7 linked regions of the Macaca fascicularis genome follow. The protein of the gene in region 1 interacts with the protein of each later gene in a pairwise test. Links are inferred from orthologs where the notes say so. Each region holds a gene or a part of one and is shown in the gene's direction. Other genes may lie near its edges. The genes, in order: PNMA1, SPATC1L, LNX1, RTP5, GPANK1, HOXB9 and FMNL2.

The links.
Region 2: the proteins of PNMA1 (region 1) and SPATC1L interact in binary tests that used the Homo sapiens proteins (3 or more experiments, as listed by UniProt). The two-hybrid records come from large-scale screens. The link is inferred for Macaca fascicularis from reciprocal best matches to the Homo sapiens genes PNMA1 and SPATC1L.
Region 3: the proteins of PNMA1 (region 1) and LNX1 interact in binary tests that used the Homo sapiens proteins (3 or more experiments, as listed by UniProt). The two-hybrid records come from large-scale screens. The link is inferred for Macaca fascicularis from reciprocal best matches to the Homo sapiens genes PNMA1 and LNX1.
Region 4: the proteins of PNMA1 (region 1) and RTP5 interact in binary tests that used the Homo sapiens proteins (3 or more experiments, as listed by UniProt). The two-hybrid records come from large-scale screens. The link is inferred for Macaca fascicularis from reciprocal best matches to the Homo sapiens genes PNMA1 and RTP5.
Region 5: the proteins of PNMA1 (region 1) and GPANK1 interact in binary tests that used the Homo sapiens proteins (3 or more experiments, as listed by UniProt). The two-hybrid records come from large-scale screens. The link is inferred for Macaca fascicularis from reciprocal best matches to the Homo sapiens genes PNMA1 and GPANK1.
Region 6: the proteins of PNMA1 (region 1) and HOXB9 interact in binary tests that used the Homo sapiens proteins (3 or more experiments, as listed by UniProt). The two-hybrid records come from large-scale screens. The link is inferred for Macaca fascicularis from reciprocal best matches to the Homo sapiens genes PNMA1 and HOXB9.
Region 7: the proteins of PNMA1 (region 1) and FMNL2 interact in a two-hybrid assay, tested with the Homo sapiens proteins (2 studies listed by BioGRID). The two-hybrid records come from large-scale screens. The link is inferred for Macaca fascicularis from reciprocal best matches to the Homo sapiens genes PNMA1 and FMNL2.

Annotation. Positions count from the first base shown.
Region 1 is NC_088381.1:141,640,181-141,644,412, reverse strand, and holds PNMA1 (paraneoplastic antigen Ma1), read left to right. Parts: upstream 1-1,432; 5' UTR 1,433-2,197; coding exon 2,198-3,259; 3' UTR 3,260-4,057; downstream 4,058-4,232.
Region 2 is NC_088377.1:933,370-937,469, forward strand, and holds the start of SPATC1L (speriolin-like protein), read left to right. Parts: upstream 1-1,300; 5' UTR 1,301-1,421; intron 1,422-2,439; 5' UTR 2,440-2,884; coding exon 2,885-3,077; intron 3,078-4,100.
Region 3 is NC_088379.1:80,251,581-80,255,716, forward strand, and holds the start of LNX1 (E3 ubiquitin-protein ligase LNX), read left to right. Parts: upstream 1-1,336; 5' UTR 1,337-1,646; intron 1,647-4,136.
Region 4 is NC_088386.1:137,802,054-137,806,250, forward strand, and holds the start of RTP5 (receptor-transporting protein 5), read left to right. Parts: upstream 1-1,397; 5' UTR 1,398-1,425; coding exon 1,426-1,583; intron 1,584-3,388; coding exon 3,389-4,197.
Region 5 is NC_088378.1:140,055,882-140,059,939, forward strand, and holds the start of GPANK1 (G patch domain and ankyrin repeat-containing protein 1), read left to right. Parts: upstream 1-1,258; 5' UTR 1,259-1,588; intron 1,589-2,183; 5' UTR 2,184-2,325; intron 2,326-2,613; 5' UTR 2,614-2,715; coding exon 2,716-3,341; intron 3,342-4,058. Other genes in the region: CSNK2B (casein kinase II subunit beta), read right to left, coding at 271-342.
Region 6 is NC_088390.1:58,092,993-58,097,050, forward strand, and holds the start of HOXB9 (homeobox protein Hox-B9), read left to right. Parts: upstream 1-1,258; 5' UTR 1,259-1,330; coding exon 1,331-1,847; intron 1,848-4,058. UniProt on the Homo sapiens protein: Sequence-specific transcription factor which is part of a developmental regulatory system that provides cells with specific positional identities on the anterior-posterior axis.
Region 7 is NC_088386.1:48,134,197-48,137,696, forward strand, and holds part of FMNL2 (formin-like protein 2), read left to right. Parts: intron 1-1,352; coding exon 1,353-1,587; intron 1,588-2,711; coding exon 2,712-2,780; intron 2,781-2,882; coding exon 2,883-2,963; intron 2,964-3,500. UniProt on the Homo sapiens protein: Plays a role in the regulation of cell morphology and cytoskeletal organization. Required in the cortical actin filament dynamics.

The DNA of each region.
Region 1 (4,232 bases):
TTTGCTGCTTATGTCTAAAGGGATCGCCTATATTTAACTGCCTCAGTGACCTAACCTCTTTCTTCTCATGTGCCAGATGTTAAGATGAAGGAGGAATACAACACATGCTCAAGCCTCAGCTGTTTAGTTGTTTTCACTGGGGCTCGCTTTTCTGGGACGGTATTTATTATCAGACTGGCAAGCCTAACTCCATAGGTTTACAGGAAGTAGGGATATTTTTATAAAACAATTGTGTCCTCCCCACATTTTGCTATGTTAATATTTGCCTCTAACAATTTGCAGCTGTTTCACTTTTTCCTCATTTGTCTCTAAGTTGAAGGCCTTGTTGGAGGGGACAGAGCACAGGAACAGCCTTGACAGTCTGTAATTATTGTACAAATATTTTAATAGCATATAAATAAGTATATTCCTTTTATTTTGAAACAAAAATGATCAGACACTGCCTTTTGTGTGTTTGCTGCCTGTGGCACCCTTTTTGAAAAAGACTGTTACATATTAAAATAGTGTACATACATATAAATATTACCTCTTTTGCTGTACAGTTGTGATAGAGACTGAAGATTTTATTTTTTGTGTGCTTTTTATAAGAAAAAATTAATACACTAAAGAATCTTGCTGATGTGATTGTAATGTACCTATGTAACTTATTTACTTTTGAATGTTCTTCTGTATCTTTAAACCTTTTATTAAATAAGGTTTTAAAAATTCAGAGTTGAATGCTATGTTCTCTCGGGATTTTCACCATCTGGGGTTGATGTAAGTGGGCCTTGTCTTGCTTGCAGGGAGATTACTCGACATTTTTGAGCCATAAGGATTCTCTTTTAGCAGCCTATTGTCGATGCCAGCCAGGAAAAGGAAAATAACACTAATGTTTGCCTGGCTAAAAGATGACTCAGTAGACACAGACAAACAGATGTTTACAAAAGTTTAGACAAGAAAAAGTCTAAACTCAGTATCTCACACAAAAAATGGCGCACTCCGGCTTCATTGGGATAAAATATGCAGGGTGCACAGTGTGGTCAGGGGTAACGGGAAGCCAGGGTTCTGAGGAGAGTATTTTCACGTGCAGGGTGGACTGGCTGGGCAACCCGAGTAGACAAGTCCACCATGAGGGATGCCATGACTTCCAATAGTATCATCTTAAATGCACTCCAGGATTGGGTTATTATTTTTAAAACACGGTGCTTAGCAGTATTTGTTTGCTGTTAAAATGGAAAATTATGAAAAAGGAAATGCGCCATCAGAGAAACAAATGCCCAAGCCCCTCGCTGGCACCATGGCAACCGCTCGACCCCCGCGGGCCGCCGGAGCAGGCGTGATTCGCGCCAGCTGGGGCGCCGTTGCCATGGCGACGCCCGAGCGGCTCCGCCGCGGGGGCGGGACGGGGCGGGGCTGACGCCGCTCGCGGGCTGGCCCCATCCTCCACTGCAGCAGTAACGTCGCAGCGGGTTGCGGGTAGGACTCGACGCTGGGGCAGCCGCGCAGCGCCTGAGCCGCTGCAGGCCGCCGCGGCCGCCGCTGCCCACCCTTGCCTGTGCTGTTTCCAGCCTCGCTTCTCCGGCTTTCCTGCTCCTCTGCTGCCTTCGTTTCTGGTCCTCGGCCGTCCTCGCCGCCCGCCCAGAGGAGTCCCCGCGCCCGCCAAGAGGAGTCCCCACGCCCTCCAAGAAGCCGCTCTCCGCTGGCCCGCAGCCGCCGCGACTTCGGCACAGTCTCTCCCTCTGGCTAGTCTCCCAAACGGCCGCTCCTCGCCCGCGGGAAGACCGGGCTGCGACCGCGAACGCCCGATCCTCTCCAGGAGCCGCAGCGAGCGCCCGGCGGGCACGCCCCGCGACCACACCCCGGCTGCTTTCGACCCAGCGCGCCTGCCTTCGCCGCCCGCCCTCGCTCCTTGCCCGCTGCACGACGACGCGACAGCCCGGCTGCAAGCGGCAGACCCGACCGGACCCGGACCCAGACGCAAGATGGCGACGGCCGCGTGACTTCCTCAGCGTCCCCGAGCTCAGCTCCAAGTGTACCTACGGACTGACTGGGGGGGCAGAGAAGGGCGAGATCAGGACTCTGTGTCTTTGTTAGTCGTGAATGCATGAAGCCTACCTCCCTTGGGCCTATTTGGTGGGAGTGTCTGGTATTGTTCTAAGGCCAGGAGTACGGTGAGCCACAGTCTGTTGGTAGAATTGGCGTCTTGATAGTTGAGAAAATGGCGATGACACTGTTGGAAGACTGGTGCCGGGGGATGGATGTGAACTCCCAGAGAGCTCTGTTGGTCTGGGGCATCCCAGTGAACTGTGATGAGGCTGAAATCGAAGAGACCCTCCAGGCAGCGATGCCCCAGGTCCCCTACCGAATGCTTGGGAGAATGTTCTGGAGGGAAGAAAATGCGAAAGCAGCCTTATTAGAGCTCACTGGCGCTGTCGATTACGCCGCGATCCCCAGGGAGATGCCGGGCAAAGGAGGGGTCTGGAAAGTGTTGTTTAAGCCCCCAACTTCTGATGCTGAATTTTTAGAAAGATTGCACCTCTTCCTAGCTAGAGAGGGGTGGACCGTGCAAGATGTTGCGCGTGTCCTTGGGTTTCAGAACCCTACTCCGACCCCGGGCCCAGAGATGCCAGCAGAGATGCTAAACTATATTTTGGATAATGTTATTCAGCCTCTTGTTGAGTCCATATGGTACAAGAGGCTGACACTTTTCTCGGGGAGGGACATCCCAGGGCCTGGAGAGGAAACCTTTGATCCCTGGCTGGAGCACACTAATGAGGTCCTAGAGGAGTGGCAGGTGTCCGATGTAGAAAAGAGGCGGCGGTTGATGGAGAGCCTTAGAGGCCCTGCCGCTGATGTCATTCGCATCCTCAAGTCCAACAACCCCGCGATAACCACTGCCGAATGCCTGAAGGCGCTTGAGCAGGTGTTTGGGAGCGTTGAGAGCTCTAGGGATGCCCAGATCAAATTTCTGAACACTTATCAGAACCCGGGAGAAAAATTGTCTGCTTATGTCATTCGTCTGGAGCCTCTGCTACAGAAGGTGGTAGAGAAGGGGGCCATTGATAAAGATAACGTGAACCAGGCCCGCCTAGAGCAGGTCATTGCTGGGGCCAACCACAGCGGGGCCATCCGAAGGCAGCTGTGGCTTACCGGGGCTGGGGAAGGGCCGGCCCCAAACCTCTTTCAGTTGCTGGTGCAGATCCGTGAGGAGGAAGCCAAGGAGGAGGAGGAGGAGGCTGAGGCCACCCTTCTGCAGTTAGGCCTGGAAGGGCACTTCTGAGTGCCAGAAAAGACAGCTTTAGTGCAGACCTAGATCACAGCTAGTTTTCTTGTCCCTGTGGGGGTCTTACAGATGTGTCTCTGAGTAGTAAAGGCTTAGCCCTGTTCCGTTTTGTTGTTTTTTTGGAGGGGAAGGTTAGTCAGGCCTGAGTATTCATGTAACATTCTAAAATTGTGCAAGCGAGCACCGTGAGCTGCTACAATGCAAGTGGGTCTTGCTGGCTAAAGTGCCAGGTAAAGGGTTGGTTGGACACAGCGCTTAGTGCACGCTGTCATCATGGACATCATAATCAGTTGTGAAAAACACACGAACCTCTGACACTTCCTATTCCACACTGAATGTGAAATTGCATGTGCAGATGTTTACTACGGGGCCTGGCTCACAGGAAGTGTTCAGTAAAAGTATGAACTATTAGATTACTGATAGCGCAGATAGATTTTTCTTTACCATAAATAGTTCCAGATTTATATTGATGGAAGGAAATGTGCATTTATTAGCTATTACTCAACTTTACAATGCAAACATCATATTTCTCATCTTTAAACATGTCGATCAGTTTAATTGAAAAGTATTCTGAGACTGCAAAATGGGGTGTTAAAAAAATACTGCAATTACGGAGCTGTGTAAACCAGTTTCTCATTGCATAAGATACAGATGTAAATTGCATGGAGAGGTTGATATGCACCTGTACAGTAATTCACTTCCCCATTTCAGATCTTTGTCAGAGAATAGTTCTTGTTCATACTGAGTGTTCTAAATTTGAAGTTATATATACAAATTAAAATATTTTAAAAATTCTGTTGTCTTCTCATTTTTCTGGCATGTATAAACATTTTTAGCCTAAGTAAACTCTGTCCTTTTTTCTTATGAAGACTTTGTCATTAAACCATTTATTTTACTCTTAAGCTTTGTATGATACTATGTGAATTTAAATGGCAAGTCCTTTTTTTTCCTTCCCCTCTTGCTGTCATCT
Region 2 (4,100 bases), on another chromosome or scaffold:
AGCTACTCGGGAGGCTGAGGCAGGAGAATGGCGTAAACCTGGGAGGCGGAGCTTGCAGTGAGCTGAGATCCGAGATCCGGCCACTGCACTCCAGCCTGGGCGACAGAGCGAGACTCTGTCTCAAAAAAAAAAAAAAAAGGAAGAACACCCAGAAAATGGCATGGAACCCCTGCGGCTGATTTTAAAAGGCCAGTGTTCCAAAGCCAGACCAAGACATCACAAGAAAAGGAGATTCAGATTGATTTCCCCTGTGAGCATAAAAATACTTAAGATATTAATAAATTGAATCCAGTGCTATATTAAAAGGATAATGTGTCAAGATCAGAAAACTGTCAGAGTGTTGATAGGTCCGTGGCTGGAGAGTACGTGATGTCAGGAGAAGGCTTCCTTGGAGCGGGAAGAAGATGGCATTTAAAATATGATGGGAGGAGCCAGGGCAGGAAAAGCCATTCAGGGCCCCATCGGGCTCAGAGTGGGGGGCGCATCTGTGACTCACCCCTGACTTCTCTCTCTGCCCTGCATCCTGGACATGCAGGGGCATGCCCTCGTCAGTGGGCTGTGTCTGGGCCCCCGTTGTCTTGATCTGAGGTGTGAGCCCTGTGGTGCAGCCAGACGGGTTGGGTTGTGTCAGGAACGCTTGGGGTATGGCAACCTCCATTCTCCACAAAGCCTGACTCGAGACTCTCTCCTGGAAGCAACGTTGCCCTAATGTGGCCGCCCGGGCTGAATGAAGGTGGTGTTCTCCTTGGGGACGTCTGCACGTGAGTGCCCTTGGTGGTCCTGAGTGCCCGTCACAGGGCTGGAGGTGTGGCTGGCCCACTGGGTTGTTGGTGGTCCTGAGTGCCCATCACAGGGCTGGAGGTGTGGCCAGCCCACTGGGTTGGTGGTGGGTGCCCGTCACAGGGCTGGAGGTGTGGCCGGCCCACTGGGTTGGTGGTGGTGGGTGCCCATCACAGGGCTGGAGGTGTGGCCAGCCCACTGGGTTGGTGGTGGGTGCCCGTCACAGGGCTGGAGGTGTGGCCGGCCCACTGGGTTGGTGGTGGTGGGTGCCCGTCACAGGGCTGGAGGTGTGGCCAGCCCACTGGGTTGGTGGTGGTGGGTGCCCGTCACAGGGCTGGAGGTGTGGCCGGCCCACTGGGTTGGTGGTGGTGGGTGCCCGTCACAGGGCTGGAGGTGTGGCCGGCCCACTGGGTTGGTGGTGGTGGGTGCCCGTCACAGGGCTGGAGGTGTGGCCGGCCCACTGGGTTGGTGGTGGTGGGTGCCCGTCACAGGGCTGGAGGTGTGGCCGGCCCAGTGGGTTGTGTTTTCTGGATTACGTCCCTTCCCACGAGGATGAGATGACCCTTCTGTTACATCCCGGCTGCTGATAAAACAAGACTCTCGGAGCCAAGAAACAACACTGAGGTGATTTACTTCCCCAAGTAATTGGAGAAGCGGGGAGTCAGGGTGGGTTTCAAGCTGGTCACACTGACCGAGGACAGCGCCTACTCTAGCAGGACCCTGTGAGCCACAGCCCTGCGTGACGGCCCGAGGGGCCGTGGCCATGGGTTGGGGCCGTCCTCAGTTAGGTGCAGGCAGGAGCAGTGCAGTCAGGAACAATTGGTGTCTTAGACATGGGCGCTCGCGGTCCGAGGGGTGGACAGGCACTGCTGGACCCTTCTCATTGGGGAGTGAGGTCAGCAGGTGGTCTCCAGCCCAGCCCTCAGGGCCACCCAGCGCCCCTCAGCATGTGGGGCCAATCGTGGGGCCCATGGTGGGGCTGCCCCAGGCTGGTCTCCTCCCCAGGGTGGTCTCCCTGCCAGGCCGGTCTCCTCCCCAGGCCAGTCTCCCCCTCCAGGCCGGTCTCCTCCCCACAAGACTGGTCTCCCCCCAGGCTGGTCTCCCCCCAGGCTGGTCTCCCCCCAGGCTGGTCTCCCCCCAGGCTGGTCTCCCCCCAAGACTGGTCTCCTCCCCAGGCTGGTCTCCTCCCCAGGCTGGTCTCCTCCCCAGGCTGGTCTGCCCCACAGGCTGGTCTCCTCCCCAGGCTGGTCTCCCCACAAGGCTGGTCTCCCCTCCAGGCTGGTCTCCCCCCCGAGGCTGGTCTCACCCCAAGGCTGGTCTCCCCGCAGGCTGGTCTCCTCCACCAGGCTGGTCCCCACCACAGGCTGGTCTCCCCTCAAGGCTGGTCTCCCTCCAAGACTGGTCTCCCCTGCCAGGCTGGTCTCCTCCACAGGCTGGTCTCCCCCCCAGGCTGGTCCCCTCCACCAGGCTGGTCCCCACCACAGGCTGGTCTCCCCTGCCAGGCTGGTCTCCTCCCCAGACTGGTCTCCTCCAGCTGCCCTCACCAGCCCCTCCTTTCTCAAATGTGGGTGCCAAGGATGGGCCCTGATGCACACCAGATGCCGCCCTGGGTGCCGGGGCCCACAGGAAACTGCACTGGGATCCCTGTGTCCTGGGCAGGTCCTGTGGGAAGTGCAGCCCATGTGTTACTCAGGTGAAGGCAGCGTCCCCACCCAGCCTGAGGACTCCACACAGGGTGGACGCCCAACCCTCACTGGGCCGCTCACTGGGGAGAGGCTTGGACGCCCCCTTGGAGTGCAGTCCCGACATCCCGTACCTGCCTCATGTCCTTGGCATTCTCGGGCCCCGGTCGTGGTGTGGGAGTGGCTGCCTGTGCACACCACGGGCCTCCAGCTTCACGGCCTCAACGGGGCCACGAGCCATCGACGGGTCAGGCGGGGGTGCCGGGCACCTCATCACTAGGGCAGTGACATCACAAGGCGCAGAAGGCGGCGGTGGCTACGGAACTCCATGCCCGGGCTGTTTCTGTGGTGCCTGTGGGCTCTGGGCTCCCACCTCCATGGGGCTGCAGGAGCCGTGAGGGACGAGAAGGGACGCACCCGCCATGGCTGAGGGCGGCGAGCTGATGAGCCGGCTTCTGAGCGAGAACGCAGACCTGAAGAAGCAGGTGCGCCTCCTGAAGGAGAATCAGATGCTGCGGCGGCTGCTCAGCCAGAGCTGCCAGGAGGGCAGTGGCCACGACCTGCTCCCACCCAGGGCCCCCGCCTACCCCGAGGCCGGCTCCCCTGGGAGTGGAGGTGAGGCACCACCTGGCTCACATGGCCCAAGGGTCCAGCCTGGTGGATGGGGGGTCGTCGGGTATCTGCTCCCCGGGCGTTGAGGGGGGCGGGCAGCTCCCTGATGCGGGAGGTCACGGGCACCTTTCACACTCTCAGGTCTGAGTAAAGCAAGCCCAGGTGGTGGGTTCTGCTGTTGCCCTCAGGTGAGGCCCTTCCCCTCCAGGCCCACTCCGGTGAAGTGGGTGTGGTCAGCTGCAGTCATGGAGGTGCCGCCGTAGGGGTAGAGCAGGTGGCGTGCAGGCTTGTGGGCCTCCAGGGCCCCAGGCAGCTCTTCCAGGCTGGGCCTGGCTGGCAGTTTGCTCTGCTGCGTGCGTCTCTTCTCCTCCTGGGTCAGGGGCGAGGGGGGTGTCAGACCAGCCACACGAGTCCCATGGGTGCTGTGTCCCATCCACTCACATCCCCGGCCAGAGCTAGCTAGGCCAGCCCCGTGGTAGGAAGGTCCCACCCCAGGGAGGTCCCAGAGCGGGCCAGGGGAGCGGGTGGGGACGAGTGGGCACCTGTCCCTGGGGGGTGGGAGTGTGGGGCCATGATCCACTCACCACATAGTATTGACTCCAACCTTCTGTGGCTTTTTATTGAAAAAAATATATATAGGGTTTGATCACTTTCTGCAAAGTAGTAGGCTTTATTCTAAAAGTTTTGGGAAAACATTCCCCATTCCTGCGTGTGATTTGGGGTGTGGCTGACAGTTGTGCCCTTGACTCTTCATTGGGATGATGGGCAGAGGACAGAGGACACAGCATTTCCTGGGACTCCCACGGCCAACCTCAGCTTCCCACCTGGCTGGGCCGGGAAGGGACGTGGTCAGCCTGCCTGGTCCTGGACGATGGAGCAGGCAGCCTCGCCAGTGCCTGTGAACGCTGCTGTCTGCAAGCGCGAGCCATGCCCGGGAGGCCAGCTCTGCCACTCACCAGGGGGCACTCCAGCACCTGCGCTGGGCTGGTCGCTCCCTGAGTCCTTCCCAAACGCCAGCCACCACCC
Region 3 (4,136 bases), on another chromosome or scaffold:
AGCAATTGAAAATAAAGATTAGGGGTAGAACCAAAAAGAGTCAGAAGTGTGACCTTAGGACTGAAAATACATGTGCTGACTTCATCTCACCAGGCAGAATTTTCCAGGTTGGCAATTTTGCCTCATTCACTCCGTGGATTATTGATTAAAAGAAACTTGTAGCAGCTGGCTCCGAAAGTCAAAGGGACAAAGTGGCAATCAGGCCATGACCAAAATGCACACAGAGGCCAAGGAATTTGCAGTGTACTTCCTTGTTTGTAAATCAGAGTCACAGTGGAGAGCTGAAGGCACCGCAGCCAGCGGCACCACCTGTAATTAGGGAGCCACAAGTACCTGCACTCCATGTGTCTTTCTTGCATGTTGCACATACATAAGATAACACCGAGCTCCCGATTCACATCTCTGGAAAGAGACTACTTAATTCACTAATTATTCACATTTCTACTTAGAATCGAATTCCCAGAGCTTATCGCTTATTTAAGCAAAATCTTTGGCCATCACTGGAGCTGTCATCCCACAGAAGTGCTTAAGCAAACCAGTGGGAAAAGCAAAACTCAGAAAAGCACACTTCCAGAAGCGCAACGTTTACATTTTTAACTAGCTGGGTCACTTTGCAGGAACGACTTAATGTCTCTAATCCTCAGTTTCTTTATCTATATAATGGGAGTGATAATTATAGATTCTGTTGAGAATTAAATTAAATAATGCAGGTCAGGTAATTACTACAGAACCTGGTAGGCAGTAAGCACTTAATAAATGTTAGCAAAGATGTTGCAGCGGCTGACAATGATGGCGATGGTAATGCTGAAGAATGAGCAGAAGAAATCCTTATTTAAACAATCATTCTGTATCTTTAGAGTTAAGAGTCTTAAGTAGTATCAGCCACAAACTTGCTCAGTCTTTTTCTTTGTCCACAAACATTAGCCAGTGTTCAGTTATGAGCAATACTGCCGAGAGAAAATCTTTGAAAGTTTTGGCAAGGTATTGGAACAAGTCAGAACTACTTATTTGCCTGATATAGATTTTGGTGCATGTCCCTTTTCATATTCAAAAATAAAAGATGCCCAGGATTCTAGGGCCTGTCCAGTCAGCAGCCCCTGCCTATTAGCATGATAATGTTCCAGACCTAATGATGGCCTGAAGGTGTGGTGACCCTGTGTTTATTTCCTTGTTGATTTCCCTTCTCTGGCTCCAAGATCATTTTCCCATTGCCCACAGGAAACAACATCTAGGGGCGAGGTAGGCCTGACTTGGCAACCCTAAAGGTGAACAAAAGGATCTTGGCTTTTGGCAAAAGCAGAAGGAAGTTCAGGGGCGTCTCAGCCCCATCCAAACCAGAATAGATTTGTCACTGATGCTAATGCATGCTGCTCTGCAGGGGACCACTCTCCCGCTAAGCTCTCCATAGCTGCTCTCAGTTTTATGAATCTGCTCTACCCAAAGCCTTGCAGAAGGGACAGGGGATGCCCTGGTTAACCCCTGCATGTACAATGGTGGAGCAGTTTTGATGCATAGCTGGGACACAGAATACTGGAAAGAGAAAGAAAAATTTCCTGAGCTACTGCTAAGCCAGCAAAACTCATCTCTCAAACGGACTATCACCTGAGACTTCACACAGCTGGGAACTGATCCGCAATACAGCAAAGGTAAGATGGCCTAGTTCCTCTACAAGGTAGAATCTCATACCATTTTTTAAAAATGTCACCTCTGCCCACTCAGCCCCCAGTTCTCACCTCTCTCTCTCTCTCTCTCTCTCTCTCTCTCTCTCTCTCTCTCACACACACACACACACACAGACACACACACCCCCCAAACTGAGGAGAGTCTAAAAGATGGAAATATCTAGGTGTGTCTTTTTGAAAACACTAGAAACGCCTTGGCATTTCCTCTCTTTATACCCTATTTTTTTCTGCAGTGGCCTTCATTCAAAGCTTATTTACTTTGACAAATGAAAACGACTTGCCAGACAGATCAGTAAAAATATAAGTAATCCCACTAACAGTAACTGGGTTTATGCGACAATATTCTTTATCGGTATTTAAAACACATTCACACACAGACTTTGTTTCATTCCACAGTAGGAGTAGGTGTTGCATTGTAGTTTTACCCATGGATAAAGAGGTTGAGAGAAGCTGTGACCTGCTCATGGATGTGTAGAGTTGTGGGTGACCAGCAGCACATCCTGTCTTCATTCCTATCTCTTTTCAGTAGAATGGTGACCCTACTCTTTACAGAAAATTCCAGACTACATTCTTGGCCATGTATTCTGACAAATGGTCTGATGAGAGGATGGAATTTTAGAAATTGGAACTCTCAGGAAAATCCAGAAATAGATAGCCACAGTATCCTGTACAATACACCACCTTGTCATGTATTCCTGTTTACTTCCATTCCTGGGCATTGAATTCAGTTCAACAAATGTCGATAAACTATGTTCCCTGCTCCAACACTGACTGGCTCATATGTCAGGGCGTGGTGCAAGTCCTGTGCCCAAGGAATGCTGAGGCAGTGCAGAGTAGGATGGCGGGGTGGGGGGCTTCCCTAAAGAGGTGAGCTTCAAGTAAGCTCAGCATAAAGAGTGGACTTGGATTGAGGGAGAGCATTCAGATACACAAATCCCCCGGGAGGAATTTGTTGAGTGAACATTTACTTACACCAAGTCCATGGTGGCAGAGCTGAGGGGCAAGGAGCACAGCCTGAGGAATTAGACTGTCTGGCCTTGACTCTTGGTTCTACTTCCCACTAGCTCTGCATCTTGGAGTACCTCAGTTAACACCGCTAACCTCACCTTGCCAATATGTAAAATGAGAATGATGGTAATACATCCCTCATAAGGTTGTCTTCAGCTGTGAATGATTATGTATGGGAAGTCTTTCCTGATGCATAACAACTGCACAATAAATATTAATACTAACTAGTGTGATGACCATGTGCCTGGCTCCAAGGGAGATGCAGGGAATACAGATAAGAGGAGGCCTACCCTCAGTGTAATCAAAACGTCATGAGTTAGTTGTGTGCAGCTAATGACATGAGATGTGATGCATGCTCTGGAACCACGAGGGTGGAATCTTTTAAGTCTGTGTGAGTTAGGGTTGGGGTTCTGGGGGGACAGGGAAGGGGGCAGAGGTTTCACAGCAGAGGCCCTATGTGTAGGGCGGTAGTATAGATCAGTGAAAAGAGCTAGACAGATCTAATTTTGAATCCCAGTTTCCTCCTCTATTTACGTATCTATTTATTTCTATATTAATCTATATGTATTGAAAGCCATAAATTCATACTGCCAATTCATACTTCCAATTCATACTTCCAATTCCAATCCAACACTCCCTTTCTACATTTGTAACTCCCTTCTCTAACATTCATCAGAAGCTGGCTCCCATTATCCTTAATATATTATATGCTTATTCACTCAATCCCCCAAATGTCATCAACTGCCATCATGACACTGTCCCCTGCCCCATGCAGACGCCCTCCGCACCCTGACGCTTTGTTCTGGGCCGCCCTGAGCTGGCTCCTGGAATTCTGGAGCTACCATATGTCCTCCACACGCGCACAGGTGCCTACTTTGCTCAGCCCTATGTAATGTCTTTAAGGACTGTGACACATGCTATACATTTGTGTATGTACCTGTGTTGTCACTGTCTTTGGAGGGGGATAGAGCTATCTCCTCCATACAGGTAGGGCACATGTCCTCAGCATCAGGCCTGAAGAAGCCAGGCTCATTCCATTCATTCTATTCCACTTGGTCTGCTGATCTATATGGATGTGGACTGCTCACTGTATGCTCGGGGTAGTAACAACATTTCCAGGGGTGAAAAGTACTATTTGGGCAGTCACTGTTCCTTTTGCTTCTCTGTCAAGTCCTTGTCTAGGTTCTCCATTATTCATTTACTTAACAACAGATATGAAGCACTTACAAGGTAACTGGTGCTTGGTTAGGGTGGGACATAGAGATTTAAAACCTTAGTCACCACCCTCAAGGAACTCCCAGTCCACTGTGGGAAGCAGACAAGCCATAAATTTCCATTCCATGTGGCCAAGTGCAATGAGAGCCTACACAGCCTGCCATCAGAGGGCACCTAGCTCAGACTGGGTGGGCACAGAGGAGATACCCAAGGGGAATCCTAAATGGGCAG
Region 4 (4,197 bases), on another chromosome or scaffold:
CAGGCGGGCCTAAGACTGGCTGGAGGGCGGCCATCCTCCCAGCACTGATGGACAGAAGAAAGTGAAGCTGGAATGAGAACACGGGGCTTTCCCTGGCACTCTGGCCCTGCATGGAGGCCCCTTCCCAGAGCGCTTCCTAATGGCTTCCTCTTCCATCTTGCAGTCACACCTACCTGCAAGGCAGGAAGATGTCACAGATTTGAAAACTATGACAACATGCACTCACTTGCCAGCGTGAGCTGCAGAGTGGACAGAGACGAGGAGATAATGCGTGAAGTGGTAGAAAAATGAGAAGAGATTGTTCAGTGTGCAGAGCAGAGAGATGGTGAGATGGGAGCTGTGAGGAGAGCCGGGCGGCCTGGAGGCTCCCGGGGGCAGATCTGTGCTGAGCTTTTGTAGGGATCGCCGGCTGCCTCCGCCCCTGCACGTGCCAGCTCCTTCTCAGCTCGCCCTTTCTTGTTGTGCCCTGACAGGTGGCTGCCATGCACAGCGATGCCACTGAATCTCACAAACTAACCTGAAAAGGTGTGAGAAGCTGGGCACACACATGGGGTGTTTACGTGAAGCTCAGAAGCTGCACAGCTAAAGGGCTCGGTGAGGGAGGCATCACAGGTGTTGAAGCCTCATCGTGGTCCGTGCAGGCACGGCCAGGCTGGTGGCACCTCTGCCAGGAGGGTGGGGGGTGGGGGTGGGGCCGCGGGCTGAAATCGGGAGCGAACAGGCAGTCGGCTCTGGAGGCTGGCAGAGCGAGGTTCTCTTTCTTCCTCTGGGAGGTGGTGACTAAGACTTTAGAATAATTTGTGAAACTCTGCATTTATGTTTTAGGCATTTTATGTAAATATTTTATATTTCTCACTAGTAAAACGTTTAAGAGAATACACCCACGGGACAATCTACAGTGATACACGTTCTATAAAGTTCTTCTCAGCTTTGTTTGTGTGAAAAGCGTTAGTGCTGTTTGCAGAGAGAAGCTGAGTGAATAAGTTACATGACAGCCACAAGCTGGAAAAATACGAAGTGTTCAGCAAGGGATGAGTGTGGGCCACCGTTCCTGGTGCGCAGTAGAAAGAGAGGGCTGGGGATGATTCCTTAGAGCGATGTGTGGAAACACCTGGGCCTCTACACGCACAGGTCTGGGGAGGCCCCTGCGTGTCCACGGGCCCCCCACGGTGCTGCCGCCCCCACGGTGCTGCTGCCCCCACGGTGCTGCTGCCACAGGGATGCTCTCTGGGTGGCGGGGTCATGGGAGATTGCATTGTATTGTATTTTTCCTTTCTGCTTCCCATTTCTTGGAGACAAATCTGGTTGCCATGGAGACCGTGCTGTTGTCAAGGTGGCTGATTGGCCGGCGCCGGATGCAGGGATGCTTCCTTGGGCCCCCGGCGGGCGCAGCCCTCAGCCCGCACTGCGGAGCCAGGCGGCAGCATGGACGGGGCTGGGGCAGACATGTGGGCCAGCACCTTCACCCTGGCCATGGCCGAGAGGAAACCCCAGGACGTCTGGGTTCTGCTACCTGAGCACAGCCTGGTCCCAGGACGCCTGGACGGCGGTGGCGTCCAGTACCTGCTGGTGGGGCTCTCGAGGTGCGGCCAGAGGCTGGGGACCCTGGGAGAGGGACGGGGCTGAAGGTGCTTTTCCACAGGACTTTGGGTGGTCCCAGAGGCTGGGTGGGGCTGTCGGGCCTCTTCTTGTCCCTGAGACGGGAGGGGGGACTGGGTGCTCCTTCTTTCTCCCGTCTGAGCCTCTGCCTCGCCATGCTGGGCACACGGCTGCTGACGCAGGGGTCCCGGGGAAGACATGGCAGGTGCCTCGTGGAGGGTTTGGTTTCCCTCACTCGGCTCCTCAGGCCAGCGCTGCCCGTGGACACAGGCTTATCTCCTGTTTCCATGGCAGTGCCGTGGCCTCGAAGCTGTCTGTGCTGACAGGTGGGCCCTGGGGCGTGCCGGTGCCTGTGGTCACCATCCAGCCCTGCGCTGCAGACGGTGGGGTGCTCGGCCCTGATCGGGGGCCCGGGGTGGCTGTGAGTCACATGTGAGCCTCACGGGCCATCGTCATGGTCGTGGTGCCGTCAGCACAACAGGGTGGGCCCCATCTGCTTCTCTACCCGGCAAGGCATCCACAGCTCTGCCAGGAGCCAGCCGGGAGGGGCGCAGGGCAGCTCCACAGCCTCGCAGACGCCCGGCCTGACAGGCCCCCAGGCTGCCGGCTGGTCAGTCCCTCTGTGGAGATGCCCTGGGCAAAGGGGGAGTCATCCTGCCCTTGGACACAGCCCCTTAGTGCCTGAGACCCCTGGGGCCAGGTGTGTGTAGAATCCCAGCTTTTTCAGAAGTTGGGAAAGTAATAACCCGTGTTGGGGTCTGAGAAGTGCTTGGAAGCACATCACCGTTCCCACAGCCAGGCGGAGATGGCTCTGAGTGACTCCCAGCTGGCGGAAGAGAACTGAGGACGGGTGCCCCAACATGAGCCCCAGCGCCTGTGGCTTTGGCAGGCTCCTCAGTCCCATTTAAACACAGTCAGCAGTTCAGTTCCTCCAGCACGACCGTGTCCACGGGCTCTGTGGCCAGTGTGGCTGCCGGCTGCAGGTGGGGCAGTGTGGCTATAGAACATTCTGTCATCCAGAAAGTTCCACTGCGTGGAACTGAAGCAGAGCCTCTCATTCATGCAGGGTTCCCTGAAGCTCACAGCTGCTTGTGTGGTTAGCAAATGGTCACCGGTCTGGTGACTGCTGTGGACAAGCCAATCTCTCCCAGTGCTCTCCCCAAATCTCCCCTCGCCTGGCGACGCCCAGCAGGGCTGCCTGGGCCATGACCGCAGGCCTCAGTGACGCCCTTTCCCTCAGCTGGCAGGTGACGGGGGGATCACCTCCTCTCAGTCAGGACAGGGACCCCCCTTGCTGAGCCCCCAGGGACAGCCCCCAGATGCATGCTTTTCCCCTTCTAAGTGTGTCAGCTGGCCTGCCTCTTCCTGTGTTAACCCCAACTCACAAAACACCAGCAGAGCCACGCGGGCGGCAGGTGGCCGACACCTCACAGAGGCCAGGCCAGAGCGGGTTTTGCTGCAAAACTGCTGAGAGGTTTGCTTTGCTGAGAACAGCGCTCCAGATGAGGGGGTTGCAAGCTAGCGTGCATGGGCCTGCGTTTGCCCGTGTGGCCAAGGGGCTGGTGGTTTCAGAGCCTCAGCACAGGCAGGAGCAGGTGCTGGGCCGCCTTGGCCGTGGCCCTGGGTGGCTGGCGGGTGAGGTTTGAGGTTTGGGGTTTGAGTGTGGGATGCGAGGCAGGGGGCAGCGAGGCGCTGGGGTCGGATGGGCAAGGAGGCCACAGAACAGAGCGCGAGGCCCGGCCTTGGGGTCTCTTACTGCTGCACTCACACGCACCTCTTTCCCCCGCAGGCTCCAGTGCAGTCGCTGTCCGGGGACCTGGGACTCGGCCCACGTGCATGTCCTTTTCCACCTGTGGTGGGACAGGGCCGGCCGCCGGGGGCTGGTGAAGATGCGCATCTGGGGCCAGCGGTGCAAGCTGTGCCCTGCGCCCGGGGACTGCCAGGTGAGGCCCCCAGGCGAGCGGCCCTTCCTCAGCAGGCTGGTCTTGCACATCCTGCAGGACTGCTACGGGGATGGCCTCGGCCCAACCCGGCACCCCAGGGAGGCCTACGAGGGCTGCTGTGAGGCCTGCGAGCTGGGGGTCTGTTTCCTTCAGAAGGCCCCAGACCCTGCCTGGAGCACCAACACCACGACAGGCAACTTCCCTGCCATGGCCTGGGGTGGCACCGGCGCCGTCTCCAGGGGCAAACAGCTGCCCACCTCCGGCGATGACCTCGGCAAGGGTGGTGGTGTCATCGCCATCCCCTTCTCCCTTGTGCGCGCCAGCAATGACCAGGTGCCCATCGCTGAGGGCCCTGCAATCCCTGCCTCTCTTTCACAGGAGGCCTCTCTCCCTGTGACCGGCAGCCATGGGGCTCTGGTCATTGGCCAGGGCTCCATCTACCTGTCTGGGGATTCTGTGGCCATGCCTGGGGGCAAAGGCTTCCCAGTGGCCATTGGAGACCCCCTCTTCCATGGCCCCGGCCTCCTCGGCAGCAGTATCCAGACCTTCGAGCTCAAAGGTTTCCTTTTCAAGGGCCGGGGTTCCCTCTGTAGCCCCGTTGGCGTGGCCCAGGGCTGGGGCCCCGTCTCCCTCAACAATGGCCTTGTCCCTGCGG
Region 5 (4,058 bases), on another chromosome or scaffold:
CTCCAGCCTGGGCGACACAGTGAGACCCAGTCTCAAAAAAAAGATAAAGAAAAAGACACAAATTGCCTGCTGGAGGGTGGCAGAGTCGAAACTTGGGCCCCAGTTTTGCCACTTTAGCACAGGTTCGTCGGGGGTTATTGAGGGGACTCTTCGTTGATGGGAAGTTTTCAAGTAGTATGTAAGAGAACAGTGTAGAAGTGGAATACGTGAAGGAACATCTGGTGGGAAGATATGTGAAGCCAGCAAGTAGGGAGGTCGAAGAGAACTCACTTCACAGAAGAATTCATTGCCACGGAGCCCACAGAACCAGGAAATCCAGGACACCTCCTCTGAGCTGCTCATCTTCACGTCAGCTGAAAAAAAGAGTGTCAGTAAAGCTCAAGTTCTCCTTCCCTGCCTCGGGTATCCTCCCTCCTCCCACATTAGAACCACCCTTTCTTAAAGGATCCCAAACTCTGAAGCACTCCTCTCCAACTCCTCCAATTTACATCTCAGTTCCCTTTTCTTTGACGTTAAACATTCTTTGGGGTCCCACCACTTGAAAGAAGCCAACAGATACTTTGACCCACCAGCCCGACCCACGTCCCTGGAGCTCCCGAAAGCCAGGGCCCTCTCTTCTCTGTGTCAACTCCGGCAGGGACCTCGACTCAGGCTCCGTACCAATGCAAGTCTCTGCACGACCCCGGCGCCTTTCCCAAGGATTTCCAAGTTTATCACTCTCAAGCAAGAATCGGGCGCCTCCTTTTCTCAAGGGTTGGGGGCGACTGTCAGGTCCCTTTCACCGGATTCCACACATCCCCCCTCCGCTCCTCAAGCCACCTCTCCCTCCTTGCCGGACCTGGTTGCTTCCTCCCCCCGCCCCCATATCAAAGTGCGGAGACCCATGTGCGGCTCCCAGCGACAAGCGACTAGGAGCAGCGAAGACCTCAGACTCACCAGCTGGACGGGGACCAGGACTGGGGTGGGGTAGGGAAGTTGCTACTTCGAAGGAACGGCGGCGACCGCTACAGCGCAGGCCGCGGACCCGACCGCGGCAGGCGAAGTGGGGTGGGGGGAGTGGAAATTGGGGAGGGTGGGGAAGAGGGCAACACGCAAGCGCCAAGGGTCAGGTGCCGCGGTGGATGCCGGGACGCGGAGTCCCCGGTAGAGAGAGAAACCGGCTAAGTGAGGGAAAGCGAACTACCAATCCCAGGATGACCCGCGCACGACCTGGCTGTCACGAAGCCCCGGAGGAGGACGCTTGCGGGCGGGGCGCAACGAGAAGCCACCGGAAGCGGAAACCAGGTATGGCGTTCGGGGCCTGGGAGCCTGGGCAATACAGTTGTGTGCTCACTGGGCGAAGAAGCTGACTTAGGGCGGGGAAAGGAGGGAGCCAGGCTGGACCCCTCCTCGCAGCTCTCCTCACAGTTGCCCTCTAGTCCCGACGCGGTGCTGCTTCCCTGGGGACTGGCCTATCCTTGGCCAATGCGCTGGGTCCTTATTGCCTGTTGGGCCCCTAGTGCGAGTCAGTCCCGCCAGAGACCCTTGACGGGCCTTCTGTTTTACTCCGGGCTCCGGCCTCATGAGGCGAGAGGTGCGGCTTGGCTCCGTGCGTAGGGACTTGGGTTGGGAGGGCTGGGCTGGGCTGGGCTGGGCTGGGCTGGGCTGGGCTGGGCTGGGCTGGGTGAGAACCAGAACGGCCCAGTGCGCTAACCTGAGGTGGTGCCAGCCATTCTGCTCGTCCCCTTGCACTTCTCCATTTCCCCTTAGTCTCTAAGTGTGACCTTCGAACCCTGGTCAGAGTAATGGTGAGGGGCAGGCGTGACGTTATTTCATTACACGGCTTCTCGGCATTCCACAGGTTTCCCTCCGCCTCCTGAGGGCCTTTCCTAACCCAGAGAGTGGATTCCTAGCTCCAGAAAATGGGCTTGGAGCGGGGGCCACGTAGAGGAAGGCGAAGGGCATTGTGGGGGCGTTATGTAAAAGTAGGACCCCAACCGACAGATCCTAGCGCTCGCGCCACCTGGGCGCGCGGAGCTTTGCTCGTTTACTATTGGAAAAGTTCCAGCGCGGGAAACTGAACCGGGAGCTTTGCGCACGCCTGAGCCATCAAGTAATGTGGGTGGTGGTTTTTGTTGTTGTTGTCGCCACGCATGCGTCTCCGTGCCGTGTGGCTATTTGATTGTGTCAACTCTGCTGATCAGAATAGCGCCATTTTGCGTTACGGAAGCTACACGGCAACACGTATAGGAGCCTCTCCCCGAGATCTTCTAGGGAGTGACCCGTCTATTTTTGTTTGGGAAGAGGAAACTCCGAAATGGGATCACGGAAGACTTAAAGGGCCAGGTTTGATTTTTTTTTTTCCTACTGGTATGTCTGTTTTACGGGGTGAGAAAGTGATTTCAGAAAGAGGCTGGTATTTATTGTTGGTAAGGATGGGGGTGGGGGCCGGACGCAGGACCTCTGGACGACTGTCTCATGGAGTTTGATTAATCTTTACTAAGGAGCAAAGTCGGTATTGTAGGGTTTCGTGTTTTTACGCATATACTCTCTCCCTTAGACCCTGCAGAGTCTTAAGTTGTGGGGTCACTTTAGCGGCAGGAAAGTGTTTTTGACTACTTTTTCTCATCCCAGCAGGTCCCTGAGGCTCTGGTTGCTACAGAGTCACCAGGAGCTTGGCTTGCTTGTCGCATCCTTCCCTTGCCTGGTATCATTTTCTCAGTTCTCCCAAAAGCCATGTCCCAGCCCTTCCTCATCACCTTCACCCCAGCCACTGACCCCAGCGACCTCTGGAAGGATGGGCAGCAGCAGCCACAGCCCGAGGAGCCAGAGTCCACCCTGGATGGAGCTGCAGCCCGAGCTTTCTATGAGGCCCTTATTGGGGATGAGAGCTGCGTTCCTGACTCCCAAAGATCTCAGACTGAACCTGCCAGAGAAAGAAAGAGAAAGAAAAGAAGAATCATGGGGGCAGCTGCAGCAGAAGCAGTGGCAGAAGGAGTATCAGGAAGATATGGACAAGGGAGATCCCTTGAGGCTGAGGATAAGATGACTCACCGGATACTGAGGGCAGCCCAGGAGGGGGACCTGGCAGAACTTAGGAGACTGCTGGAGCCCCATGAGGCAGGAGGAGCTGGGGGGAATATCAATGCTCGGGATGCCTTCTGGTGGACCCCACTGATGTGCGCTGCTCGAGCGGGCCAGGGGGCAGCTGTGAGCTATCTCCTGGGCCGTGGGGCTGCCTGGGTGGGGGTCTGTGAGCTGGGTGGCAGGGATGCGGCTCAGCTCGCTGAAGAAGCTGGCTTTCCTGAGGTGGCCCGCATGGTCAGGGAAAGCCATGGAGAGACAAGGAGCCCAGAGAACCGGTGAGGGGAAACTTTAGCTCAGACCCCTGTCTCATTGTGTTCTGCCTCTCCCAGCCACTCCACACCAGAGGCCCCAGCACAGTGCTGAGTTCTTTCCTTATCCTCATGTGTAGGTTGACAAGGTAGTATAGTCAAGTGGTTATGAATATGAGCTACCTGGATTTAAAGCCTGATTTCACTTACTTGGGCAAACAACCTAATGTCTACATGTTCCAGTTTTCTCATCTTAGAAATGGGGTAGTAAGGATTGTTGTTAGGATTCAATGGGTTAATATATGTAAAATGCTAGAATAGTGCATGCTGCATAGTATGCAATATATGAATGTTAGCTGTAGTCATTATCACTAGTATCCCTCCCCTTGCCCAAGAGTTTGCTAGGCCTGGTTACAATTTTTTCTTTTCAACTCTTCTGCTCTGGGTCCCACAATGGTTTAAATAAATTTGTTTTTAAGACCAGTAGTGAGAAGGAGGGGAAAAGTAGAGTAAGGAGTTTGATCTGTAACTGAGTGAACAGTCATTTCAGATAACACCACCACCTTTGGACCAGCCTGGATTCCCTCATTATTAAGTAGGAAGGAAGTCAATTTGTCCTTTTTTTTTTTCCCCAGACAAGGTTTTACTCTGTCACCAGGCTGGTGCGCAGTGGCGTGATTTCAGCTCACCGCAACTTCCACTTCCCGGGCTCAAGCATATTTTTTGTAGAAAGCAGGTTTTGCT
Region 6 (4,058 bases), on another chromosome or scaffold:
AGGGCTGAAAACTCAGCCCAGGCTCCTTCCTCTTTGGATGGAAGGGGAGATAACTTGGGACCCCTTCCCTTGCTGACTGGGGATCCTTTCCCAGGCCTCTACTCTGGTGACACCTCAGGGAAGTGTCCTTAACCCTTTCTGCTATTCAGCTCCTTCATCAGGGCAATTTTAGGGGCCTGGGTGGTTATTCAGTTATTCAGTGGAGAAAAGGAGAAATGGCAATTCCCCCCCCCCCCCGCCGCCCCCACCTCACCACCACCATCTTAAATCCATCCTTCTGGCCAGAGTCAGAAAGGCCCAATAAATGTAAAGGCGCTCTGGTTCCTTGTATTAAACTCTTTCCTAGGCTCACGTTTCCGGGGCCTGATGGATCCCTTTAACCTCAAGCAGTTTCTAATTTCAGGACAAATAGTGGATTCTTGGACACTCAGCCGTTTTATTCACCTCTCTCCTCTTCCCTCAGCTACTGAGGGGTCCAGGGAAGCTCCCAGTCATGTAAATCTCTACAAATAGTGCACAGAGAGCCCCCTCCAAAGCGGACAACGTCCTAAAATCCCCAACTTTTCCCCTCATCCTTTTACTTCATCTCCTGTGGATTGCTGCTGCTGCTGTTGTTTAATAAACATCTTCTGTCAAGGGGACAGAGAAGAGGAAATGAGGGCCTGTGGGGTGGAGGTGGAGGTGTGTGTTGGGGGGGACAGGACCACCTCCTCTTCCAGTATCCTCTCGGGCCTCTGTGGCTGCTCCCCGGGCTGGGGCTCTCTCCCTCCCTCCGCCCTTGCTCTCCCTCCCTCCCCGACCCGCCTGGGGAGAGGGCTCCACAGCCTGCGTCCCTCCCGAGGCAGCCCGCCGCTTCCCTCCGCCTCTCCTCCGCCCCCGCCGCCCCATGTCGAGAACTGCCCCCCTTCCTGCAGCGGGAGGGGGGACCGGGCAGCCGGCAGCTCAGGCTGAGGTTACGTGGCCGCCGGAGCCCTGACGTGATAGCACATTGCATCAGCATAAAACAATCCATCCTCGATATGGAATGCGGTGCGGACGGATGACAGCGAGAGCGCAGCCCCCTCGCCCGATTGATTTATGTCGGAGCTGACGCTTTATCAGGCAGTCGGAAAAACTTTGACCAATCATTTTGCAAGGAGCGCTGAGCCTGGCTGCTCCACTGTACTTTGTTGGCTGAGAAGTTGAGCAGGGGGTGGGGGTGGGAGGGTGGGGGGCTGGGGGGGTCGCGTCCGAAAGCCCTCACACCGGTCCGGGTGCCACCTCTCCCTGCTTGGGCGCCGCCGCGCGAGCGCTTCCCTTCCCCCTGCGAGCGCCCGGATAATGTCTGAGAATGTCCATTTCTGGGACGCTTAGCAGCTATTATGTCGACTCGATCATAAGTCACGAGAGTGAGGACGCGCCTCCAGCCAAGTTTCCTTCTGGCCAGTACGCGAGCCCGCGGCAGCCGGGCCACGCGGAGCACCTGGAGTTCCCCTCGTGCAGCTTCCAGCCCAAAGCGCCGGTGTTCGGCGCCTCCTGGGCGCCGCTGAGCCCGCACGCGTCCGGGAGCCTGCCGTCGGTCTACCACCCTTACATCCAGCCCCAGGGCGTCCCGCCGGCCGAGAGCAGGTACCTCCGCACCTGGCTGGAGCCGGCGCCGCGCGGCGAAGCGGCCCCGGGGCAGGGCCAGGCGGCGGTGAAGGCGGAGCCGCTGCTGGGCGCGCCTGGGGAGCTGCTTAAACAGGGCACGCCCGAGTACAGTTTGGAAACTTCGGCGGGCAGGGAGGCCGTGCTGTCTAATCAAAGACCCGGCTACGGGGACAATAAAATTTGCGAAGGAAGCGAGGACAAAGAGAGGCCGGATCAAAGTAAGTTATAAAAAGTGAGGAAATACCCAGGCCGAAGGCCAGGAGGGGGCGGGGAGGGGAAAGGCAATAAACTGCCGACCATGTGAAGGGAAACTGCGGCGGTGGCCGGAGAGCGGGCCGGGAGGAGGGGAGAGGAAGGAAAGTCGGAGGGAAGGGGGAAAGCTGCGTGCTCTGGAAGGTGAGACTGAGGCCGCCAGAGGAGCGCTGCCCCCACTTCTTCAAGTCGTGCGGGGAACAGGGGCTCTGGGATCGACTTGCAGCTCTCTCGGCCCTCTTTCCCCTGTCTCCCGGAGGCCCCAGCTGAAAGCCCGGCCAGAGACCGGCGACGGCCGGGAGAGGAGCTGGTGGGGCCGGGGGCCAGCGGCCAGCGAGGCGGAGAGCCGGCGAGGGCAAGGGCCGGAGCGCACTGGGCTGCCCGGGACCGTGCGGCTGGCAGAGCTCCCCGCTCCACGCGCAGACCGTAAAAGCCGGCCAAGGGGAAGGGGGAGGGGGCTCATTAGGATTTTATTTGCGATGCAACAGCTTGGCGGAGAATTGTTCCTAGCAGATCTCGTGCTGTAGCCGCTCAGAGTCCGCAACCGGCGCCGGGAGGGGCGGGGGAAGCCCAGGACGCGGTGACTGAGCCCCCTCCCCGGATGCGCCGGCCCCTCCCCGGGAGCCTTCCCTCTGGTGGCCCCTCTCCTCCTCGGCATCTTCGCCGGGGCTGCCGCTTCCTTTTCTGCGGTCCTTCCCCCACCCCGCTGCTCTCTGCGGGGCTCCCTAGCCCCAGCCCGGGCTGTCCGCCTCTTGGGGAGTCGGGGAATCGCTTCCGAATATCGGGACATCCCGGGGAGAGGAGGGGTGGGGGAAGAGAGGGTTGCAGAGAGGCGGAGAACTTTACCGTTTATGGGTAGTTTCCCATCACCTCCCACTCCTCAAAAGCACCCCAGTCAGAACGCCAAGTCTGGCTGATTTCCAGGAGGTGCTACTAGGTGAGAAGAGAGGGTTCTCCTATTACTTATTTTTAAGGGCCCTTCGGCGAGGGAACTCAGCCCCAAACAATGACTCGCAGGCTGGTGAATCAAGTCCTCGTTTCTTACTCTTTTTGGGAAGTAGGGATTTTTTCGTCTCTCCTTGCCCTGCTAGGTTTCCCATTGACGGAGTGGCCCCAGGGCTCTTTAGTGCATCCTTGCCTGCTGGAGAGTAAAGAGCTGCTCCATTCCCTGCAGGGTCCTGTCACCTCCAACCCGCCAGGTGGAATCCTAAGAGCTGGCATTTGGGGAAGACATTCTTCCCCAACTCTCCCCGCACACTCCCAAACCGACCCACCACCCTAAAACCCCAAACTCTCCCTGAAAAGCCCATTATTGCAAGGCAGCCATTTGGCTAGAATCAATTATTAACAGTTTTTTCCCTCTTTCATATTTAATGCAGCTGCGGGTCCCATCCCAGGCAATCACATTAAGGAAATAGCACTGCAAATTGGTAAGACAGGGTACTTAGTGTAGGATGAACCAAATTTTTTATATATAAAAAAAATCCAGTGTTTTTCACTTGGGGAGAAGGAAGCTAGTAGCTGGTGGCTATTATTTTTAATTGGCTTAGCTTTATTTGGCAACTTTTTTGAGTTCCAGAGCAGGGGGAGAGAGGGTAAGAAGAAGAGAAGCCTGTATATATTTTTGTTTCCTCTCTTCCACTCAGTTACCCTCTTCTCCCCTCCAGCCCCCACATAGGACCAGTTAAGGCTAGGTGTGCTGTGAAGGGCTTCCTTTTACCTCCACATCACCCCTGGCTCCCCACCTTGGGACTGGAGCAATTTTACTCCCCAATTTCCCTGAACTTGTGTTAGCCAAACTGTGAGCTGAGCAGGAGCTGAAAAGGAGAGAGACTATTGCAACCATAAGTTATCTGTGAGCCCCTGGCGCTCCCCTGTCCATAGGCTGGAGTTGATAAATGGTTGCAATTGCGTTGCGTGTGAATTGGAGTGTGCTGCCTGTTTGTGGCTCTAAGTGCAGACCCATATTTGTGGTGTGTGGTGGTAACAGAGGGGGAGATTTCTACACAGACACACATGCCTGCTGCCATGTGGTCTAGAGACACAAGTTTGTGATCAAGGCAGGGTGTACTGGGACTAGACTGAAGGGCTGAAAGGTCTCTTGGGGTGAAGTGACACCCCAAATGTGGTAACTGAACAGACATCTCACTTCCCCACCCAAATCCTCCTCTCACCTC
Region 7 (3,500 bases), on another chromosome or scaffold:
TTTTAGAAGAATAACATCTGGATTGTGACATCATTTATTATCTCTTATGCGGGCCTCCAGCAATGCTTACATAAAAGGAAAGTTGAGCTGAGTGTGGCAGATGTTAAGAAAAGGTAGAAGATGTCAGTTTTCTCTGGAGTATCTGAATTTTATCCAGATTTGTTGAATACAAATTTGATGGCATTTGTGGAATGATACAGTTCAATGCCAGACGCAAATATGATACAGATGCATATTTTAATTCATAACAACAGGAATGAATTGTTTTGCTTTTAGTACTTTCAGGACATTTTAAACAAAGTTCATTTTTTACTCTTGAACTGCATAGAAGGCATTGGTTTTACTTCTCTATTAGAAGAATCCTTCTATTCTTGTGGCCATGGTGACTTTCAAATGTGACGAAGACATTATTAAATGTTTTAGGAACTAATTATTTATAAATGGATTATCTTGTAAATTTTGGTTAGTGACTTAGAGGTGTAAATGACCCTGAGAAATCCTTTGTTCCAATTTTGTGTCCTCAGCCAGGGTGATAATCTCGTAGTCCAGTGCCTCCTACAGTCTGTTCTCATTTCTGACATTGAATGCTGAAGTGCAGCCTGGCTTTGAATCTTTATATATCTTGTTTGTCATGATGATTAAATGTAATTCTATTATTTAGCTGAACAAAGATTGTCCAGAGAATAATAGAGAATAGAGATTGTAACAAATACTTAATTTGTTCAAATTAAGCATATATCCAAAAAGAACTTCAAGGAATGTACACACTTAACCTAAAACATTCAGATAATACAGGCATTTGGATGCATTTTTTTCCCAAAGAAGAAAAACTGCTACCAGACTATTGGTTGAATTGAAATATTTTACATAATTCAGCAGATATTCTGTGATAATGTGTACAGTGTTAATCTCCTGAATTAGCAGTAGTACTTCACAATGCCTGTCAGCTATGTCCTTGAACCATTAAACCATCAGATGCTTTGGCCTTGGTTCTACCTCTTCCTATTTTCATTTACTCCTGATTCCAGAGGCTTAGAGCTATGCCAGTCCCCTAAAAACTGAGGATGGCAGTTGTGACAAGGTCCAGGTTTTCAGGAAGAACCAATTAAGTTACCTGAGGCATAGTTAAGCCTCAGCACCAGGACCAGGGTGGGACTTCACAGGACAAGTGGAGAAATCTTAGACTCATTGATTTGGTATTTGCTGAGCTGTACCAGATGGATGATGGATGGATGAACCTGAAAAGGATGGATGGATGGATGGATGGATGGACGGACCTGAAAAGGATGAACTTGAAAAAGGGGTAGGAGGTTTTTTCTCTCTAAGGCTAATCTCTCCACATCTGTCTTTAGATTTGACTTGAAGACACTGCCTGTAGACTTTGTGGAATGCTTAATGCGGTTCCTGCCAACTGAGAATGAAGTGAAAGTGCTTCGGCTCTACGAGCGGGAAAGGAAGCCTCTGGAAAACTTGTCAGATGAAGACAGGTTCATGATGCAGTTTAGTAAAATCGAGAGGCTCATGCAGAAGATGACCATCATGGCTTTCATTGGGAACTTTGCTGAAAGCATTCAGATGCTGACTCCTGTGAGTGGACCAACTCTGGCAGGGGAGGGGGTCCAAAGAAATGTGGAATCATAATTTTTTAAAGTCTCTCCCAGAGGTGCACTCAGTGTGTTGGGTTCTAAAGACTCCGTCCCAGAACTTTCTAAATTGTCCATCTTTTCCACATTATGTATGAAAAGTAAATTTGAAAAAATGGGGAATGTTCATATTCCATATTGCTGTTCTTCCGAAAGAATGCCATTTTTTTGTGTCTACAGATGTTCTCTAAATTTCAAAAGGCAGAGGACAAAGAAACTTGGTTCTTTTCTCAAACTTGGTTCCCCCCTGAAGATAATAGTGCTCTGACGGGGTTGGCAAGAGTGAAAATGTGACTTTCATTTCTAAAAATGATGCCCTCTCCTTAGTGAGCAGACTTACAAGCTTTTGCTGAAAGCTTTAAATTTACCATAAGAGTTTTCTTTCTTGTAAGTGTGTTACAGTAAACTGTGGTGATATAGACATAATAGCCAACCATCTCTCATTCCCTTGTGTTAATCTTGTGGAGATTTATGAATATCATAAACTTCAGTTCTCTCCCAATTCTGTTTCTAAATAAACTGTTACTGATTATAGTAGTCAGTTCTTTCCCAATTCTGTTTCAACATAAATTTGTTGGTTTCTGCTTATAGTAGTATGTCTGTTGAAAACATGTTCTGTGAACTTCTGGAGGGTATTATATTCCCCCCTGCCTTTTTTTTTTTTTTTTTTTTTTCTCATTTTTGATGCCTCCTCCATTGATTTAAAAATATTAATTGTATGACATGATTAGAGGTGGTGGGCAGGAAATTAAGTTCTACCAGAAGAAGCTATGGACTCTTAACTCTGAGTCTTAATGGTTATAGATTGGTTACAGATTTTGTGACAAGCAAGTTCCTACGTTGCTATTGTGAACAGTTTCAGTAAAGACCTTGCATGTAACAATATTACCTGAAACCTAGCAAGACAATTAAATTTGTTATACTTTGGAAAAGTAGACTCTCATCATGAAGATTGTATGCTCTAAATGCAGGCCTGTTTTCTTCTGTGTTAATATTTAATTGCCAATTAGTTTCCCATTTTTAACATGTCTTTTTCCCCCCCTTTTTCTTTCTTTGATTGGAATCTAGCAACTACATGCGATTATAGCAGCATCTGTCTCTATAAAGTCGTCCCAGAAACTCAAGAAAATTCTGGAGGCAAGTGCAGTTTTTCTTGTAGGTATGAAGGGCTACTTCAGCTGTGTTCAGTGCCTGATGTGCTGAACTGATGGGCTTCTGTTTTCACCTTCTCTTTTGCAGATCATCTTAGCCCTTGGAAACTACATGAATAGCAGTAAAAGAGGAGCAGTTTATGGATTTAAACTTCAGAGTTTAGATCTGGTGAGTGGACTAAAAGAAATCTGAGAGCTGTCTGAAGGACAGATGGCTGGCAGAGATGAAGTTAGGGTGGTGGGGGATGTTTTGATGAATATTTTCAATTGGTACTAATTTTCTGGAACACCATTTGACAGAGAGCACATAGAACCTGTAATTACTTATACCCTTTGACTCAGTATTTCCATTTCTAGGAATCTTTTCTCAAGTGTCTGAATTTTGAATGCTGTATTTTATTTATAATTGCAAATTAACAATCTAAAGGTCTATGGGAATGATTAAATGTGCTGTAACGCTAGTTAATATAGTGAACTATTATTCTTCCACCATTAACATACTGATAAAGAGTGTTCCAAGAAAGGTTTGTGTTTAGAAAAGAAAGCAGGGTATGCTTTGCATGTACAGTTGAATTTCAGCTAAGTAAACTATGTGGGGAGAAAGACAATGGAAGTAGGTTAAAATATTAGCAGAGGTTGGATGGAATCAGGGAATTTTTTCAAACTGTTTTTGTAAGTACTTTTCTATATTTTCTTAAATTTTTTC